Linked DNA regions of Drosophila melanogaster. The gene in region 3 interacts genetically with the main gene of each other region. Each region holds a gene or a part of one and is shown on either strand. Other genes may lie near its edges.

Region 1 (4,844 bases), on a different chromosome or scaffold from region 3:
CTTCGCTTGATTTTATTTAAATTCAATTACCTGGATTATTAAATACATTTTATAAAGTTTAACACTAGTGAAATAAATATCCCATCCCCAACACATTCTTCAGGGTTACCGTTTAAGGTATGTTCAAAACTTTATGGTATATTCCGGAGCCCTACAAAAGTCTTGGTATTTTTTCACACTGGTCTCATAGTCGCGGCTGATAAGTCGCTAATTTTTGCATAATATTAAGTATAAGTCAAAACAAACGTGCGAATTATGTCATGTATTCGGCTAGCGTCTGCCACCGTTCTGGCAGGGGTCCGTCCCCCGCCGGCAGCAAGCGGAGGTGGAGCCTTGCGCCTGTTGACTAAACGGAATCCGGATGCTGCATTCGCACGCCGCCAGTTTGCTGTAGCGGTTGAAAACGGCGGAGGCAGAAAGAAGCCGAATGGAACTTTCAAGCTCGCAGTTTTGGGGGCCACCGTAGGCGCGGCCACCGGATCGGTGTATACGATGTACCAGCGGTGGACAGACGGCAGCTCGCACAAAGAGCACGAGGAGACGAAGCCGACGCGGCTGGACGGGATTCCGGCTGGAGTGCGGATAACCAAGCGCTATGTCAACCCCAAGGACACGTCCGGTTTGGACATTGTGCTGTTCCAGTTCCAGACGTGTCCCTTCTGTTGCAAGGTGCGCGCTTTCCTCGACTACATGGGCATATCCTATGCGGTGGTCGAAGTGGATGCCGTCCTACGGCAGGACATCCGCTGGTCGTCGGTGAAGAAGGTGCCGATGGTGCTCATCCGACAGCAGGACGGCAAATACGTCCAGATGGTGGACTCAAGTGCCATCATATCCCTTATAGCCACCCACCTGCAGGACAAGCGCACCGACATCGGCGAGCTGGCACAGTTCTATCCGCACACCTCCTTCTTCGACGATGATGGCAAAAAGAAGAACGACATATTGAATAAATACTTCCTCATGTACCGCGAGCATACGCCCAAGGGAGTATCCAAGGAAACGGATGAGTAAGTTAACCAGGGTCAAGTAATCTTTTAATCAAATCTTTTAACCTTGAGTGTCTGTTCTTAGAACCGATCGCAAGTGGAGAAGCTGGGCCGACAGCCACTTGGTGCATCTAATATCGCCCAACTGTTATCAGACCATGGGCGAGTCCCTAGAGACTTTTGAGTGGTTCTCGCAAGCTGGCGAGTGGGACGTTCACTTCCCCAAATGGGAGCGCGACCTGATGGTTTACTGTGGTGCCACCGCCATGTGGGCCATAGCCAAGATGCTGAAGCGCCGTCACGCCCTCAGCGACGACGTCAGGTCGCACATGTACGATGCCCTTGACCAGTGGACCACTGAGCTGAAAAAGAGGAACACGAAATTCATGGGCGGAAAACAGCCAAGTCTGGCTGATCTATCGGTTTTCGGCGTGCTTTCAAGCATGGAGGGGTGTCAGACGTTCAAGGATTGTCTGCAAAACACCAGCATCGGTAAATAAGGTTTCTTTCTCGGGTTTTGTACCTTTTTACGAACTTTTTACATATTTCCGCAGGTAAATGGTTTTATGACGTCAAGGCGTTGGTGGAGAAGAATCGTGGGCAGTTGCAAAGAGAACGTATTGAAAACATGGCCGCTATAGCTTAAAACAAATATTTGCCCTTATTTTATCCAAAGATTGTTGAAAATAACCGAAATGTTCATTAAAATATACATTTTAATCAAATCTAGTTTGCCGTTTCGTTTATGGTATCTGAATGTATATATTTGGTCAAAAACGCGTAAGGAGTGCAAGTTTATGGTACAAATTGGAATTAATTTTAGGTTTTATATTGTTATTTTATTTATATGTTAAATTAAAAATGTTTACTAAATAAATACCTCCTGCTAATAAAAATATCCCAAACCGACGTATGTATACCTATCGATAACGTTTAAGCAGGCTGGATCCGATGCTCAACAACGGTCACATTGATTTTGTGATTTTGGTTAGCCGCTTGCAAACTTGCAAATCATTTCGTTGGTTTTTTACTTGGCGAGTTAATTGGTGAATTTCAGCACAAAACATGAGCAGATTGGGCTTTGAGCAATTCCCGGACTACCAGGTGCCCGGCATGAAGCATCCTGATTTCTCGCCCTACGAGTCCAATGGCGGGTGAGTTGCTATTTCCCAGCGGAATCGAGATGTGGAAGAATGTCTCCATCTAACCGGAGTCTTCCCTGTTTACAGCTCCATTGTGGCCATCGCCGGAGATGACTTTGCCGTAATTGCAGCGGACACCCGCCTGAGCAGCGGCTACAACATTCACTCGCGAACGCAGAGTAAACTCTTTAAACTCTCGCCCCAGACAGTGTTGGGTTCCGCAGGCTGCTGGGCGGACACGCTCTCGTTGACCGGATCGATTAAGGTGCGCATGCAGAGCTACGAGCATACCCATCTGCGCACCATGACCACTGAGGCCGTGGCCCAGATGCTCTCCATCGCCATGTACAATCGCCGCTTCTTCCCGTACTACGTGTCGAACATTCTGGCTGGAATTGACAACGAGGGCAAGGGCGTCGTCTACTCCTACGATCCCATCGGTCACTGCGAGAAGGCTACATACCGCGCCGGCGGCACTGCCGGCACCCTGCTGCAACCGGTGCTGGACAACCAGATTGGTCACAAGAACATGAATTTGGAAGACGCCGACAAGATCAAGTTAACCAAGGAGCGGGCCGTGAGCGTTGCCTCCGACACCTTCATCTCTGCCGCTGAGCGCGACATCTACACCGGCGACTCTGTGCTGATCAACATCATAACCAAAGATGGAATTGAAGTACGAACTCTGACGCTGCGTCAGGACTAGCCTGTGGCGAGGATGTTGCCGTTTCTTTTGGTTAGGGGCATTCGGTGGAAACCAGGCATTCTAAGTTAGTTGGCTTCAAATTTTTGTATTTACCCAAAACAACAAAACATCGTAATAAACCGAATCTTTGAGATTTAAAATATGCGGCCTAGTGTGACCAGCTGGTCCTAGAAATAAATCGTTCCCAAGCAGTGCTCACAGAAGAGGCTGTGCGAATAGTACAGCTTTCCCCGTACCAACAAATCCATTTTGCTAGCTAAGTTTGTGCCCGCTGGTGTGCGTTAACAAAATCATTTCTTAGTGTTCGTCTCTCAGAGAATTCAGTCCAATGACGAGTTTCGAGTTTGCACTGCTGCCGCTTCTGTTTTTGCCACTGATCCTGGAAAACCCGCTAACCTCCGCCCAAATGATGTCATCGCTGGTGAAGCCGGGCATTTTCCGGCACCTAATGTGCCGCAACAACATGTATCCGCGCAGCTCAGTCCTCCGGTACCCAGTTTCCGACGAACAGGTCTTCTGGTCGGAGCCGTTCCCGGACTACTGCCCGCCTGCGTACACGGCGCCACATATTGGCGGGCAGGTGTGGGCTGATCCGCCGTTGCCCAGCGACACATTCTGGCCACAGTGGAATCAGCTGGATGGACAGGTAAACCGCGAATCCTTTCACGGTGCCTACAACGTGCAGAATGGACTGCCCCTAAATCCGATCGGGCGTACCGGACTAACCGGACGTGGTTCGCTAGGCAGATGGGGTCCAAATCATGCCGCAGATCCAATCGTCACGCGCTGGAAGCGTGACGACCAAGGAGCAATTGTGGCCAACCCGACAACCGGCAAGTAAGTTGGCCCAATAGCCCATTAACTGTGATGACATCACTTCCTCTTTCCTGCAGGAATATCATACAGATGGTTGCCATACAGCGGTCCGACAACAAGTTGTGGGCCATTCCCGGTGGAATGGTCGATCCCGGCGAGAATGTCAGTGTCACCCTTAAGCGGGAGTTCACCGAGGAGGCATTGAATTTCACGGACAAAGCCAACATGGTTGAGCGATTTTTTCAAGCGGGAGGCGTTCAGGTATACCAAGGCTACGTAGACGATTTTCGAAACACGGACAACGCTTGGATGGAAACCACTGCGCTGAACTTCCACGATGAAGACGGGAGCCAGGTGGGACAATTGGAGCTAATGGCCGGTGACGATGCCTCCAATGTGCGCTGGACGGACGTCGACTCGAATCTCAAGCTGCACGCCAATCATGCCGACATAGTCCGTGAGGTTGTCATCCGACGAAATGCACACTGGTAGAAACTAGACTGAAACTATAAGAGTTAAGATCAACTGCCTAATGGTTGAAGAAAAACCAATTTTAAATAATAACATAGCCTTCAATGAAACAAGTAATCCCTATATTATTTCAATGCATATTAATGTCTCACTGGATGTGGTTATAAGTTAGAAAACATTTTCCTCCGTTTTTTGGCGCGTAGAAACCTTCATCTTGCCCTTTTAAAGATCGCTCATCTTGAATGATTTAACTCCACAGAAGCACAACTGAAATTTAAGACTATTTCGAAAGTATTCGTATAAAAAGCTTGCATCACTTCCAATAAATGAATCTGCGGGCGGAGGACGTTGGGTGTTCTGAGCTGTTTGGTGGTTTTCACACGGATATGTGGGCTTACAGGGCTTGCACATAATTGAACACTTCTGGATTCATGTTCGATACTTTGCTGAACAGTTCCGGGTAGTTGGCGCGAATCTCTTTGATGAGGGCCACCGCGCTCTCGGTTGTCTCGACGTCAGGCATCTGTTTCTTGTAACTCGCCTCTATGGTGATGGCCAGGATTTGCTCAAGATGTGCCTCAATGCTGGGGCGGGCCTTCAAGTATAGCACACGGAACGCCTTCTGAATCACATCGTTCTCCACGGTGTCATCCTTCAGTGGCAAATGGTTGAGCCACACGGGCAGCACCTGGCCAAGCGGCACTGAATCTGGGTTGGTAA
Region 2 (8,819 bases), on a different chromosome or scaffold from region 3:
ACGCAAACTCCCAACCATTGCGTCTGTACCTGAACCATCTTCCGCCCCCAAGAGATACGACTTCAATACTGAGGCTGTGGTGCGCGTAAAGCGCCTATGGAATGAACTGCCCTGTCCGGATCGAGGGGCCAACCTGCTCACCAACGGTGTAGTAAAGAATACCAAACGAATGCGCTTCCAGACAAAAGTACTCACACTTGACGACGAGGATTGAGGATTCCAGATGTGGCACTGCTTGCTGGCAGTTTTTGATCTCCTTGTTAGATTTTCGCGCCGCAGCAATCAAAGATCTAGTAGTGATATTCTTTGGTAAATTTTTATACATTTTAAGAGGACATGACGACATAACTAAGAAGATATGTGTGTATAATTTAGAAGACAAGCAAATTCGTGCAAACAAATATGTAAATCTTTAAGCTGTAGCTGTAGGGCAGACTGAATTTGTCCGTTCACATTTTAATTTAACAAGTGTCTGTTCCCACCGAAAGAAGTATTGCAACACAATTTAAATCTGAAAATGCCAAAATCATTTTTTAAAGAACACCCTAAAGGCCAATGTCTATAATCACACAGATATATCGTTTAATAATTTGATATGTTATGACATGTGTAAAATTCTTTGCAACCAAAAGAGAAACGCCCACTAAATTGGCAACCATTTTTAAGGAACTATCAGAAAAAATCATTTAAAAAAAAAACACCCTAAAGGCCAATGTCTATAATCACACAGAAATATGGTTTAATAATTTGATATGTTATCACATGTGTAAAATTCTTTGCAACCAAAAGAGGAACGCCTACTAAATTGGCAAACATTAATTAAGAACTACAAATCGCGGACTATAAAAGCATTCCGAGCTCCTCCTATCGCCAGTTATATTATAGCCTTAAACATTCGAAACTTTAGATGTTCGGACACTTTAAGCTCGTCTATCCGGCTCCTATATCGGAGCCCATACAGTCTAGGGATTCGAATGCATACATGATGGAGACGCTGCGAAATTCGGGCTTGAATTTGAAGAACGATTTCGGTATAGGCCGCAAGATTTGGAGGGTGTTTTCGTTCACCTACAATATGGTGATACTTCCCGTAAGTTTCCCAATCAACTATGTGATACATCTGGCGGAGTTCCCGCCGGAGCTGCTGCTGCAATCCCTGCAACTGTGCCTCAACACTTGGTGCTTCGCTCTGAAGTTCTTCACTCTGATCGTCTATACGCACCGCTTGGAGCTGGCCAACAAGCACTTTGACGAATTGGATAAGTACTGCGTGAAGCCGGCGGAGAAGCGCAAGGTTCGCGACATGGTGGCCACTATTACAAGACTGTACCTGACCTTCGTCGTGGTCTACGTCCTCTACGCCACCTCCACGCTACTGGACGGACTACTGCACCACCGTGTTCCCTACAATACGTACTATCCGTTCATAAACTGGCGAGTCGATCGGACCCAGATGTACATCCAGAGTTTTCTGGAGTACTTCACCGTGGGTTATGCCATATATGTGGCCACCGCCACCGATTCCTACCCTGTGATTTACGTGGCAGCCCTGCGAACTCATATTCTCTTGCTCAAGGACCGTATCATTTACTTGGGCGATCCCAGCAACGAGGGTAGCAGCGACCCGAGCTACATGTTTAAATCGTTGGTGGATTGTATCAAGGCACACAGAACCATGCTAAAGTAAGTCAGTTTCATTATCCTACCGGAAATATCAACAACCGTGAATTATGTTTTCACTCAACGGATCTGAATTTATTCGGAAAACTGAATAAAAGTACAACTTTTATAAGAACTCGCTATTGATATTTCTGAATATATAAGAGTATATTTTTACATTCAGGATAAAATAAATGGTATATCAAACGATTCGACATAAAACTATTTTATTTCAAATAAATTAGCTTACATTTTTTAAAATATATGCATTAATTTAAATTTTCAATGTTAAAAACCCATCCCACTGTTTCCCATGCAGTTTTTGTGATGCCATTCAACCAATCATCTCTGGCACGATATTTGCCCAATTCATCATATGCGGATCGATCCTGGGCATAATTATGATCAACATGGTATTGTTCGCTGATCAATCGACCCGATTCGGCATAGTCATCTACGTTATGGCCGTCCTTCTGCAGACTTTTCCGCTTTGCTTCTACTGCAACGCCATCGTGGACGACTGCAAAGAACTGGCCCACGCACTTTTCCATTCCGCCTGGTGGGTGCAGGACAAGCGATACCAGCGGACTGTCATCCAGTTCCTGCAGAAACTGCAGCAGCCCATGACCTTCACCGCCATGAACATATTTAACATTAATTTGGCCACTAACATCAATGTAAGTCCACTGCTCTCGGTTAGAACGGGGAAGGAAGCAAAGTCCGAACTTCAATCCTTGCAGGTAGCCAAGTTCGCCTTCACCGTGTACGCCATCGCGAGCGGTATGAACCTGGACCAAAAGTTAAGCATTAAGGAATAGAAAGGAATACTCAATACAATTGACCGCACCAGAGGTAAACGTACATAGTTTTATGAACTTAACACTTTTTTGCTTCGTAGAATTATAATAATTGTATATGCATACAGCGAATTATGAATAAACATAATCTAGTTAAAACAAATATTGATCGAACAATGGGAAGTAAAGAAAATCGCTACATATGTATACCGTACAGCCCCTGCAGAAGTCTATTTGTAGGCTGGGAACCTGGAACCTTGTCCTCGGCAATTGGAATATGTTCCTACAGAGGCCGGATTCATCGGCTGTGATCTGGTCAATAGGTTCACTTGATCCCTGCGACTGGCCTTTTCTTTGAATGAGGTGCTGGGTGTCGGAAGATGGAGTTAGTGACGCGTTGGCGAGAATTGCACATTTTATGCGAAGCATGGAGTATTTTTAGCTCGCTTCTAGTTCGAATGTTTCGGCGGCAGTTTATTTCGGGCTAGGAGGAAGGGTAGCGGAGGGTCGACACGAATCTAAGTTTATTGATGATATTTTTAATGGCTGGCATAGATGAAACAGCGAAAGTTGTTCATTTAACAAAAACTTAGGCGAGATAACTATATGTGTCTTTGTGTCCCTCCATTCGCTCTAGATACTCCTTCTCGATCAGGATGTCTATGCACTTCTTGATCACGGGCACCTTAGGCTTAAAGCGCGTTGACAGCTGATTAAGCACCTCCGATATGAGATTGGTGTGGTTGAGTCGTTTGCGCATCTTCATGATGCGGACGATCGCCGCCTGGATCAGTAATTTTCGGTCCTCCTCTATGTGCTTATGTACAGTCTCCTGCTCCACTTTAAGTTCAGTCTTCAAAGGCTGGTTGATGTTAATTCGGCGCTTCTTGTTTTTGTAATCGAGGAACAGCTCCACCGTCGACTCTGGCGTCAGCGAGTTCTCATTGTCGCTGGAGGTCAGCACCTTCGCCTTGAGCAGTATTTGCAATACCTGAAGAAATTCTTACATAAGTCTCTATTAATTCTATCTATTGACACTACTCTCACCTGAATCAAGTTCTCCTGCTGCGTCTGTGTGTTGTCCTGCAGTTGCTGGACTGTAAAACTGAGCTGATCGTTAAACTGGAGCAGCACTGACATTTGGAAGGTGCTGGCCTGCAGGGTGTAGGTGGAGGAATTATTGCGGTTGACGTTCATTATCAGTTCGCCCTTGCACATCTGATACAACCAGTTGAGCTTGCGGCCAGAGTGGCGGGCGGCGTAGAACTCATTGAACTGTCGCACTGACCGCTCCAGCTCAGATGGTAGCAGGAAGTTGTTGCTCAGCTGGAAAGGCCAAGAGCCTGAGGACAGGACTTCGATGCCAAAGTCTATTTCCATGGTCAAGTTCTTTTCGGCCAGGTACTGCTTAAAGTACGAGTTCAAGTCCTTTGAGACGCCAATGTCCTGGAACATCCTCTGAAGCTTGACGGTGTATTCGTAACCACATGTCTGCTTCAGTTTGGAGATCATCATAGCCTCGGCGTCATCCGAAGCCGATGTGTGGTTAACCAAGCGCTTAGCAAGCATCTTGGAGTAATATTTTTGGAAGACGTCCTTATCCTCGATATACTTGAACACGACCATCACCTGGTTAAGATTGTCCTCGAGCTCCTTGTCCTCGGGATTTTTCGAGGATTTTTTTAATAACAGATCGCAGTACTTGGCCAGCAATTCGGGCGACTTGCTAGCACTGTTTGCGATCGTGACCACGTTCGAGTTTATGAACTTTCCACACGCCTTGTCCAAAGCGGCCACAAATCCGTTGTCATTGTTGAACGCCGTCAGAACGAGGGCGTTGTACTTCTTGTGCACGTCCAGGATGGTCTGTACGTACGTCTTGGGATCGTTGGCCGCGTCGGTAGTGCAACACTTGGCAATGGCCTCCGTGCCCTGGTGGAGTATATGGTTCTCAAGGATGGACTTGAGATCTGTCAGGTTTTTGGACGAGAGGGCGACCAAGGAGTACATCCGTTTCAGATCATCGTTTCGGTCTGCGTTGAGCAGATTCTGAAACTCGGTGTGAAAGATTTTCAGATGTTTTTCGATAAGAACCTGAAAGACATTGATTCGGTTAGTAGGCGGCTTTAAAGTTGGACACGGTAGGCAATCCCACCTCTTCGCATGTGGACTTCAGCACATCCGCTGTGGTCTCGTGCAGATAGGAAAGACCGTTCTTTGAATTAAAGCCGCGGACGCGCTGCGTCTCCTCCTCCAGCCTGTTTTCGACGTGCTTCAGATACTCGGTGACCGTGTTGGTGGACAGAAAGGCGTCCGACTCCTTCTCGTAGAAGGCTGATGTGTCTGCGATGAACTTGTTTTCAAAGTTTTGCTTGTAGACGGATAACTTCTGCTGCTCGGCATCGGTATCCTCCTCGTTAAAGCTGAGCTCCACGTAGCACTCGATAACGTCGCGGACCAGCGACCGGTTAATGAGCTTGCCTTGACGCTCCTCCTCAATGGACTTGAGCACTGCCTTGGTGACCGGCTCATTTAGCACTTGGAACAAATGTCCCTTCCAGGCGACGAGGGCCAGTCGGTAGATCTTGTAGATACCCTTCTGCCCCTCCTCGCACTCGCGCTTCACCCAGTTCCGATTCAGGTAGTTGCAGATGCCGTCCAGAACGGTACTGGAGAACTGATACGACTTCCACTGTTTGGTGTAGCGCGACAGGAGTACCTCCTCGCCGCTGATGGCCTTGAACTTGGTGAGCAGCTCGCTCAGGTATGACTTGAGAAATTGTTCCAGCCGGTCGTACAGCTTCTTGCCCACCAGCTGCGCTCCGCCTGTCTTTCCGCTGCTCCGTCCGCTTGGAGCCGCGCTCACGCTGGTGCAGTAGTCATAGACGTGAGTGTAGAAACGCATGTACTGGCTGCGGGTGAGGGACTTCTCGTGCTCAAACACCTGCATAATGCCCTCGACCAATTCGCTCCAGATATCGTCCAGGTTGACGAGTTTCTGTGTGGTCTGGGAATTGCCGGAGCGGTTCATTCTGGCGGCGGTGGGTTGTGGCAACGGCCTTCTGCCTTCTTCCACTGGAGGATGCTGTCCCTGCAGTGGCGCTGGGCTGGAGAAGGCAATGACCCTAGGTGGCGAATGCTGCGCGGGCGACAGGGGATTGCTGCTGCTTTCCAGGTGGCGTCGTTTCGCGGCTCTCGTCCTTGGAGTTGTGGCCGGAATCTTGGCGAATCGGTGTTCCAATTTTGGAATTTAAAGTGTCAATCTGCAGATGAGAGAATCGGTACAAAAACGGAATGGGATTGGGAATGTAGTAGGCCTCGCCACGTTAAAAGCGACGACCCGAAGGTCGCCTATTATGATCCAATGTCACAGCAATAAAAGAGAGGCTTGCGGAATACACACACACACACACATGCACGCACAAGCTGTAATGCAATGCGCGGTGGTCGGACATGCCCTGCAATGTAGGGTATTGGCCAATCGCATGGCAGGTGAAGCCCCACCACCGCCCCCGCTATCGTTAGATCGTGTTCGAAAACCCAACTTCCTGGTTAAATAAACACTCGCATGCACACATATGCAGTCGCCCTCGCCTTCACACACACACCCGCACCCACACAAAGGCACATAAAGCCAAGAGAAAAGATAGCGGACATAACCATTTCACAACTAAATTGTTAACATTTTTTTCGATTTTTCACATAGCTCCCTCCAAACGAAATTTATTTTCCTGGTAAATTGAGCCGTGCGACTGAGTTTTCTTTTCGTGACGTCGTGATGGATTTGATTTCCCCTTGGAGCACACACACTTTTTCTCTTTTGTTCGCCATTTTCAAAGCACGAAATCCCGTCTCTTTGCATTTCCCTCATTTTGCTTTATATTACCTGTTGCCAGACGCTGCTAAAATTAAAACTAAAACTAAATTAAAATTGTGTTTCACTGCTTTGCTTATAATTAAATTAATTTTTTTTTTCTGTGAAAATTGCTAACTTTCGTTTATTCCTAACTATTAAAATGTGTGACCGTTCGGCCATTGCGCTGCAAGGCCCTCGACGGTGGTATCGCTTAAGACCAGCTATCGTTGGCGATCTATTTATTGGGCGCCACTATTGGTGGCGATCTCATTTTTCAGGGAATTCTTTACACGGAAAGCAGTTATATTATAGTTTATAATATCAAATATCGCTGTTAGGCTCTTCAAAGCGTGATGTAAAATATCGGCAACGCGGTTCGTATCTTAGATTTTACAAATCCGTTAGCGGTTACAGAAACCTTCTTATAGATGTCATTTTCCTGGGCACACTTCCTGGAACTTGAGAACAATCTATACTTTATATAAAACGATTGGTCTTAGCACTTGCATAATAAAACCCTTTTCAAATAATTAGGGTATGCTTATATAGTCTTATACAGGTTCACCCTAATGCCCGTACGAAACACAACTCCTCCAGGACTCAAACCAATGTGACCGTGTATAGAAGGCATACGCATTTACTTCAATTTCGATTCGTTTGCTTTGACATGTGCGGCAACTCTGACGCCAAGCAAAACAAAAACAGTGCAGCAAAGAAATTTAAAAGGTCATTGTTTATGCTTAGAAGCGGCTATATTTAGTAATTTTGATAGTTGGATACGAAAAGATGTCCTGTCGCTGCTTCTGCTTAGTGGCTGCAGCACTGCTGCTGCTGTTCTTCCACCAGCAATCCTGTGACGCAGCCACCCAGACGCCCCAAAAGACGGTGGTAATTGCGGAGCAGAGTGCGCCGGCTGCTGAGGTGGAGGCCAAAAAGCCAGTCGTGAAGAAATCGCAAGCAGAGAATCCTCCGGCAGGACCAAAGGATTCTATGGTGGTCGTAGACGATGGCGGACCTGCTCCGGTTGCTCCAGGTGCTTCGGTTGCCACACAAGTTTCACCAGGAGATGCCAAGGCACCGGAAATGGTGCAGCCTCCGGGAGGTCTTCCCGTGGATGATGTTCATGTTGAACGCTCTCCCATGTCCCCCGATGTGGACTTTCCGGGCCAGGCTGTTGTCTACATCCTCGTGGGAATCACCAGTACTGCAATACTGCTGCTTATTATGAGGGTTTATAGGTGAGTTAATGAAGGACATATCCTAGAGCTCTAGACTAGAGTCCAGAAAAGCATGAAAGGTTATTTCAAAGTCTTCCTTATTATTTTGTAATGCAAAGGTAAAACAGCAAAGAATAGATTTTTAAGGATTTCAAAAGTTTACAGCGATCCTTTATCGTGCCTTGAAATTAAAATTTCCAGTAAATATTGTTAGAATACTAATTTAAAACTAAGCGTAATGTTTAAATATGTAGCTTTAAATATTCTTATCGGTGGACTATATGCAAAACAGACTACCTATATATACTGAATTTTACTTTATACATACATACCTACATTATTAAGTTATTATACTAGCAATTTTTGGTGATAAGACTAATCGAATCGCAAATCATTGCAGGCTCCGACTTTCCCGGGCGGAGCGCAAGTACGGCGTGCAGGGCGACCGCGCCAACCAGGAGCTGACACCACTGCCCATGGCCATCGAGGACGTGAATAGTGACGAAGAGGACCACACCCTGTTCGAGGTCAATCGCCAGAACATACGCATATTATGAAATAGCAGACACATGCACACGCCAAAGATCCGTTTGGTCGCACCGCCATTTCCGACACTTCTCATCAGAACTTGCCTTGTTTCGTAGCTATTTAATGCTTTGTAGATTTGAGCTGTAGCTGCCAGCCAATAGCCGACTAAGCCCACTAATAACTAAGTTCTCTGCATTTCTCCTACTCGCAGTTGGTTCAGGTTTAACGAATCAAAAAGGAAAACAAAACCACTTGTGATAACGATTACGATGATATGTATGCAAGGCATTAAAAATCTCATAAATACCAATGCTTTCAAATCGCCTCTGCGTCGATGTTCCATATAAATAAATGTTATATTACATGTACTCGCTTCTCTCTTTATTCTTCACACTTTCACAGGACGAATCTAGCTATAATTGGTTACAAACGTAGACTTAATACAGGTTAATGGGCTTATGGATAGCTGTGACAAAGGATATACATAGGCTGGATACAGGCAGTATACGCGTACGCACGGAAACAAATGCACTAACTTGTACTTATTAACTAGGATCACATAAATAATTTATTAACAATACTGCGACTGCGGCTGTGGCTGTGGCGGCCCTGCCCTGCCAAGAAATACCACAGGAGCTTACGACTACCGCTAACACTAAACTTGAGCTTCGCTAACGTTTTACATTTGTAGTTGGCACTGTAGTTTGTAATATTCCGCCGAGCCATTTTCCATTCTCCCGACCTACCAGAGTCGGATCTAGG
Region 3 (5,899 bases):
CCCGAGTTCATCAGGCTTGGCAGATTGTTGAAGCCCAGCATGTTGTTGGCACCAACGCCAAAGTTGCCATTGTTGCCCCAATCTTTGTTTAACATCGGAATGGCAATCAGTGAAGTTTTATAAAATTTAACAATTAGATCTGAACATACCATTGCGCCCTCCGCCGAAATCATTGCCACCACGGTTGGCACCACGATCACGTATGTCATAAGGGCCAGGGCGTCCTCCGACACCGCCACCGGCGCCTGTGGCCCTCTTCATTTCAGCAATCGAGCTGCGGAATATCTCAATATACCTATGTGAATAAAAGTGGAAAATATATGTATTTTAAAAGTGGTACTTGAAATTGCTAGGGTCGGTGGCTTTTTTCCATGATCAACTATTAAATATCACGTAAAAAAATGAAATCAAAATAAATTCATTGAAATGATCAAATAAAATAAATAAAAATGCTGTTCACAGTTTAATTAATTTGTTAGATAAAGCACATGATCGCGCTTAAACATATATATGTATTTAGAGAGCCCCACCAGACCCGTAGCTATGGGAAAATTTTTTGCTAAATGATTTCTCAGTTACTGAAATAGAAATTATTTGTGATAAAAGTTATTAAATATTTTGTGAATAATTGTATAGTCCTTGTGTGTTTCAACAAGTTCGCAATCGATTACCACTTAATGTTTTAATTTCGCTGTTTTTGTTGTAGAAGATATGATGAATTAGAAACCCACCTGTGCCCAATTTTTTCCCGATTTCGGCCCAAGGCTTGCTCAGTGTCGTCCTGGCTTTCGAACTGAACAAAAGCTTCCCCAGTTGCACGACCCCTTCTGTCCATAACAAAAAGTATGCCCTCCCGATCCGTTTTGATATCCAACCCTGCCCATGACGATAACCAACAAAGATTTATACAAATATATAGATTTCATATATATATATACATTATGCAAGGTTAAGCTTAGATAGAAAAACAGAAATACAGAGGTTGATAAATGTTATTGTTTAGTTCCAACACCGCAGAACTTTTGCAGGTTCTCACGGTATTAGCAACGTTTGCATAAATAAACAGTGCCTTTTAGTCAAACTATGATCACCAGGCAAGATGCGACTGTTGCAATCGAGTTTCCCGGACCACAATGTATTACAAAACTCAGATCCTGTAACTCGTAGACATGTGTAGCTCAGTTGAAGGTTGTGAGTAATGATCGACCATATAACCAAGTAAACTGGGTTATGTGACCAACGAAGGAATGATTTATCGGACAAGCGGACGTGACCGCGTCAACTCTCAGCCGTTGACTTTGGAAGGAGCCGCGTGAACCGCCGAACCCATTACACAAATGCAAGGGCCTGCATTTCTTTGCCCGACAATATGTATGTACGTTGAAACGCATGTGTAATTGATATATGAAAGGTGTAGATGAAAGGGGACCGTAGGCCATATCTCAACGATGTGAACAAATAATACATGCGGTCAACCACTGTCTTTTTTCCTGGTACCTGGTACATATTAGTATGGAAAGAGGATTTGGGTCAGGAAACTTACCAGAGAAGAACTCCTCGATTTGCTGCTCAGTGACGGCATATGGCAGACCACGAAGCTTCACAACGAAGGCCGTGCCGTGTCCGCTGATCTTCCGCATGGCTTCCTTGGCCTCCTTGGGCGTGGCGGTAAAAACTAAAGAAATAAAAACCAATTACATCAGTTAAAACGGAAAAAAAACAAACAAGTTTTCTGCACCATTTTGTGTTTGTTATTAAGATAAGAATTAACATGAATACAGATTATAAATGGTGGTGTGAAATTTACTTTACTAAATTTTAGTTTACCTCGATAGAAGCAAGGATAAGAGTAACAATACAGTGACATATTTGTAAAACCTCCTTAATATTAGGTAAAATTCCACAATGAATGAAAAGAAAATAAGCGCTACCAGTATAAGTAGCAAAACAATGAAGAAATAAATCATCTTCGATTCCATGTATGGAATCAGAACAAGTTCAAGCTTGTTAAAAGGATAAACATATAAACAAAGTGAGAAGAAACTAACTATAACTGCCAAGATAGTCATCAGGTACAGTCATCCCCCACTCAAGTGGCAAATAAACAAACCTTCAATGTAGCGGTGACCCATGCTGGCCTTGTTCAGCTTGCGAGCCTCTTCGACGTCCTCCTGGCTGGCCACCTCCACGTACGCCTCGCCGGTGTTCTTGCCGTCGACCCGACTGGTGACCAGGTGAATGCCCGCCGAGCCATTAGTCACATTCACGTTTTCCAGAAAGTCGAGTATCTCCTTGTGCGTTGCGGACCAGGGCAGGCCGCGCAACCGAACGAATTTGGGGCTCTCGCCGACGTTTTCGATCTTGCCGCCGCCATCTTCGTTGTACTGGTCATCCTCATCCTGCTGCTGGTTGCTGTCGTCGTTGAAGTTGTCGCCATTTCCCTGCTGGCCGTAGTTAAATTGCACGTCTGCGTTGGACATTTTTCACCAGATCTCTACCTGCAAATGGTGTTACAACGATTAGTCACTGGTTAACTAGTTTTAATTGTTTTTTACTGGCTGAAAATGCGATTTTTTGAGCTAGTGATTCTCCACTCAGCAGCGACGCTTGTTTGGTGCGATTCTTTTTTGCACCGCGTACGCCATTTTGATTTCTTGTCACCCCTAATTGCTTATGACATTTTGCAAGTCTCGTACACAATATAAACGCTTCTAAATGTCACACCTGGTGGCGGAACAGAGAACTAACCGTATTCTGCTCTGTTTCAACTTCCAATATCGCCTTTTTTTAAACTTTATCGGTTAATTTGACTTATTTTTCAGAGAGATTAATCAAATAGCACGCGTCAAGTTGAAGATGCAGTGTGACCGCAATTAAATCATCAAAAAATACCGCCTGGCAGTAGCCAGCATCAATGTGGACCGTTGAAAAAGAAACAAGGTTTGATTTTGATTTTTTTTTTGCTTTTTTTGGGCAAGATAGAAGAAATTAAATATAAGGAAAATGATAAACTAACTGTGATCTTACCCGAATTTGAAATATACTGAAGCAGAAACATTTTAAATATCTCACTGTTCCGTGACAGCGACAGTTATAAACGTGTCCATCCCTGGAAAAGCCAGTGTTGCCAACCATCACTCAGATCTGTCATACCCGTGTGAAAAGTAGCAAGAACAAGAAAAGTGAGTCGAGCTGTTACTTAACCAAATTTTTGCAATTAACAAGCATTTTACTGTTTTTAACGGCAGCATGTTGAGCATCACGGCCCGTAACCTGGCAAGCGCCCTCCGCAGCAGCCTCGTCGGCACATCGTCGCGCGTGGCCGCCGTGCGCTGTCTGCACGGAACCGAGGAATCGGCGGAGGAGTTCGACAAGCGCTACGAGAAGTACTTCAGCCGTGAGGGCATCGATGGCTGGGAGATCCGCAAGGGCATGAACGATCTGCTGGGCATGGATCTGGTGCCCAGCCCCAAGATCATCGAGGCCGGTCTGCGTGCCAGCCGTCGCGTCAACGACATTGCACTGGCCATCAGGTGGCTGGAGGGATGCAAGGACAAGTGCGGCGACCAAAAGGCCACCCTCTATCCCTACTTGCTGGAGAAGATCACCCCCACACTGCAGGAGCTGGGCATCCCAACCATCGAGGAACTGGGCTACGACAAGCCCGAATTGGCCCTGAAGTCCGTGTACGATGCCTAAGCGGAGAACACTAGTTTAAAAACACAGAACACAATATACACGTTACAGCGACACTAGCTACCTACTATCCAATGTATGGTGCGGATGAACATGTTGTTGGATTGCTAATAAATGGAGATTGCAGTAAGGCTACCACACCAGCACAAGGTTGTTTTCCCTGTTGGTTACGTAACACCCAGGTTAGGGAACTGCATTCGGGCAGAGATAAACAAAGCGGCTGATAGCAATTCGTTTATTGTCCGGCGACTATTTCCATTTGGACAGCAGTTCGGCCGCCTTATCCAGGTTCTCTTGCTTCTTGATGAAGCAGTAGCGCACAAAGTCCTCCCCCAGATGTTTGTTGGGTTCGCTGTAGAAGGCACTTGGCGGTATGCCCTGCAAGCCCATGTTCTTGGTCATCCACTTGGTAAACTTGTAATCCCGATGCTTGTCTGGCTCAGAGCTTAGATCAATCTTGCCCGCCAGTGGTGACCAGTCTGCCAGCATAAAGTAGCCACCCTCAGGAATGGTGGGACGCATACCGGATTCGGACAGGAACTTGGCCATGAAGTCACGCTTCTGCTTCAGCTCGCGCGGCAGGCTAAGGAAGTAGCTCTCCGGCTGACCCAAACGGGCCAGTTCTACCTCGAAACTGCGTGCGACGCCCTCCTGGAGCGGCGTTGGACAGGTGTACACAGAGTTCTGATGCACCATCTGCAGGTTTCGAATCAGTTCAGCGGGTCCGTAGGCCCAGCCTATTTTCCAACCAGTTACTGAGAAGGTCTTGCCCGCTGATCCCAGAGTAATGGTGCGATCCCACATGCCCGGCAGCGTGCAGATACGGATGTGCTCGGCTCCGTCGAACACCAACCACTCATACACCTCGTCCGAGACGCACAGCACATTCCACTTGCGGCAGAGCTCGGCTATCCTCTCTAGCTCTTTCCGGTTGAAGACCTTTCCAATAGGGTTGTGGGGCGTGTTTAGGATAATCATCTTTGTTTTAGAGTTGAACAGACTCTCGAACTCAGCGTCATCTAGCACCCAATCGGCAGAGCTTATTGGTCCCTCTGTCTTGCGCTAGAAGTTAGACATGTTAAAAAGAGGGATATATTTTTTTTTTCTATTGTGGTTCTTACCAATTTTAGGGGAACAAAGCGGGGCACTCCACCGGCCATCTTGACCATAGGCTCGTAGCAATCAAAGAATGGTTCAATAATGATCACCTCGTCGCCCACGTCCACATGGCCCATGATGGTGGAGTAGAGAGCCTCATAGGCGCCTGAGGTAATCAGTATGTCGCTGAGGGGATTTAGCTCCTTGCCGACGAGACCGCTATAGAGCTTGGATAGCGCATTGACCAGGCGAACGTGACCGTAACCGCGAGTGTACTGATGCAGAAGAGGATTCTGCTCCTTGGCAATGTCGGCCAACGAGTGGGTCACGTACTCGGGAGCGGCATCATCGGGAAATCCCTGTCCCAAGTTCAGGGGCTTATATTGCATGGCCAGGGCAATGTACTCGTTCCAGACGCTGGGCGTGCTACCCTGCAATCGCTTGGGCAGATCGAATTTCTCCATTTTAATGGCAGTCTGCTGGTGACGAAGGGCTTGCAACTGGAACTGCTCGCGAAGGCTCCTCTTAGCGGCGGAGAGGGTTAACTGACAGCTGCGTAGCATCTGTAAAAAGGTGACTTTAGTGAATGATCGCTCCCTTTCGCCTTATCACCGCGTGTCTGGATTGTTTATTGCGCGATAAGCACGCACTTTGCCTGTCGTCTCTGCGGGTCTGATGTCTGATCTCAAATGTAACAATAAACTATATCACTGGTTTACTTTTAAATGCAATTGTTGAGTTAAATGCTGGAGGCCTGCACTACGCGGTGACGTTGCATAATGGCACTGAATTGTGATTAGACTAGCGGAATATCTATATGCGACACGATTTTGTTTTAAAGCGCTCACGCACACATGCAAACTGAAATATGCAAATAAACAAGAGCGTCTAAAGTTAATGCCGCAACATATAAATATGTTTGATCTGAAATTCACCCAAAATTAGCTGCAGGAAACAAAAATCATTATCAACTTTCTGTTCGAATTACAGATTTCACAATTTTAAACAGATTGATAACGACCCAAACGAGCTTTAATTCCACGATCATTTCTAGTTGACCTTGAATACAAAATGACAATTAACCAGATACTCAAAATAAAAGGGT

Evidence for each region. A genetic interaction does not mean that the proteins touch.
Region 1: of COX5A (region 3) and Prosbeta6, changing one suppresses a phenotype caused by changing the other (phenotypic suppression), as found in Drosophila melanogaster (one study listed by BioGRID).
Region 2: of COX5A (region 3) and Cul1, changing one suppresses a phenotype caused by changing the other (phenotypic suppression), as found in Drosophila melanogaster (one study listed by BioGRID).

Annotation. Positions count from the first base shown.
Region 1 is NT_037436.4:16,607,529-16,612,372, reverse strand, and holds Prosbeta6 (proteasome beta6 subunit), read left to right. Parts: upstream 1-1,954; 5' UTR 1,955-2,054; coding exon 2,055-2,143; intron 2,144-2,218; coding exon 2,219-2,837; 3' UTR 2,838-2,973; downstream 2,974-4,844. Other genes in the region: Su(P) (suppressor of ref(2)P sterility), read left to right, coding at 256-1,010, 1,075-1,481, 1,544-1,635; CG4098 (uncharacterized protein), read left to right, coding at 3,166-3,674, 3,731-4,145; Arts (artemis), read right to left, coding at 4,519-4,844. UniProt on the Drosophila melanogaster protein: Non-catalytic component of the proteasome, a multicatalytic proteinase complex which is characterized by its ability to cleave peptides with Arg, Phe, Tyr, Leu, and Glu adjacent to the leaving group at neutral or slightly basic pH.
Region 2 is NT_033778.4:7,914,632-7,923,450, reverse strand, and holds Cul1 (cullin 1), read right to left. Parts: upstream 6,498-8,819; 5' UTR 6,343-6,497; intron 6,274-6,342; exon of another isoform or gene 6,117-6,273; intron 5,720-6,116; 5' UTR 5,488-5,719; coding exon 4,612-5,487; intron 4,551-4,611; coding exon 3,504-4,550; intron 3,448-3,503; coding exon 3,046-3,447; 3' UTR 2,478-3,045; coding exon of another isoform or gene 2,400-2,477; 3' UTR 2,337-2,399; coding exon of another isoform or gene 1,979-2,336; 3' UTR 1,872-1,978; downstream 1-1,871. Other genes in the region: Kdm4A (lysine demethylase 4A), read left to right, coding at 1-214; Or43b (odorant receptor 43b), read left to right, coding at 908-1,683, 1,979-2,336, 2,400-2,477; CG12159 (uncharacterized protein), read left to right, coding at 7,099-7,550, 7,930-8,086. UniProt on the Drosophila melanogaster protein: Core component of multiple SCF (SKP1-CUL1-F-box protein) E3 ubiquitin-protein ligase complexes which mediate the ubiquitination of proteins involved in cell cycle progression, signal transduction and transcription.
Region 3 is NT_033777.3:11,816,463-11,822,361, forward strand, and holds COX5A (cytochrome c oxidase subunit 5A), read left to right. Parts: upstream 1-2,896; 5' UTR 2,897-2,940; exon of another isoform or gene 2,941-2,958; intron 2,959-3,085; 5' UTR 3,086-3,182; exon of another isoform or gene 3,183-3,248; 5' UTR 3,249-3,249; coding exon 3,250-3,699; 3' UTR 3,700-3,837; downstream 3,838-5,899. Other genes in the region: glo (glorund), read right to left, coding at 1-82, 150-295, 732-876, 1,544-1,675, 2,111-2,480; Kyat (kynurenine aminotransferase), read right to left, coding at 3,946-4,758, 4,818-5,357. UniProt on the Drosophila melanogaster protein: Component of the cytochrome c oxidase, the last enzyme in the mitochondrial electron transport chain which drives oxidative phosphorylation.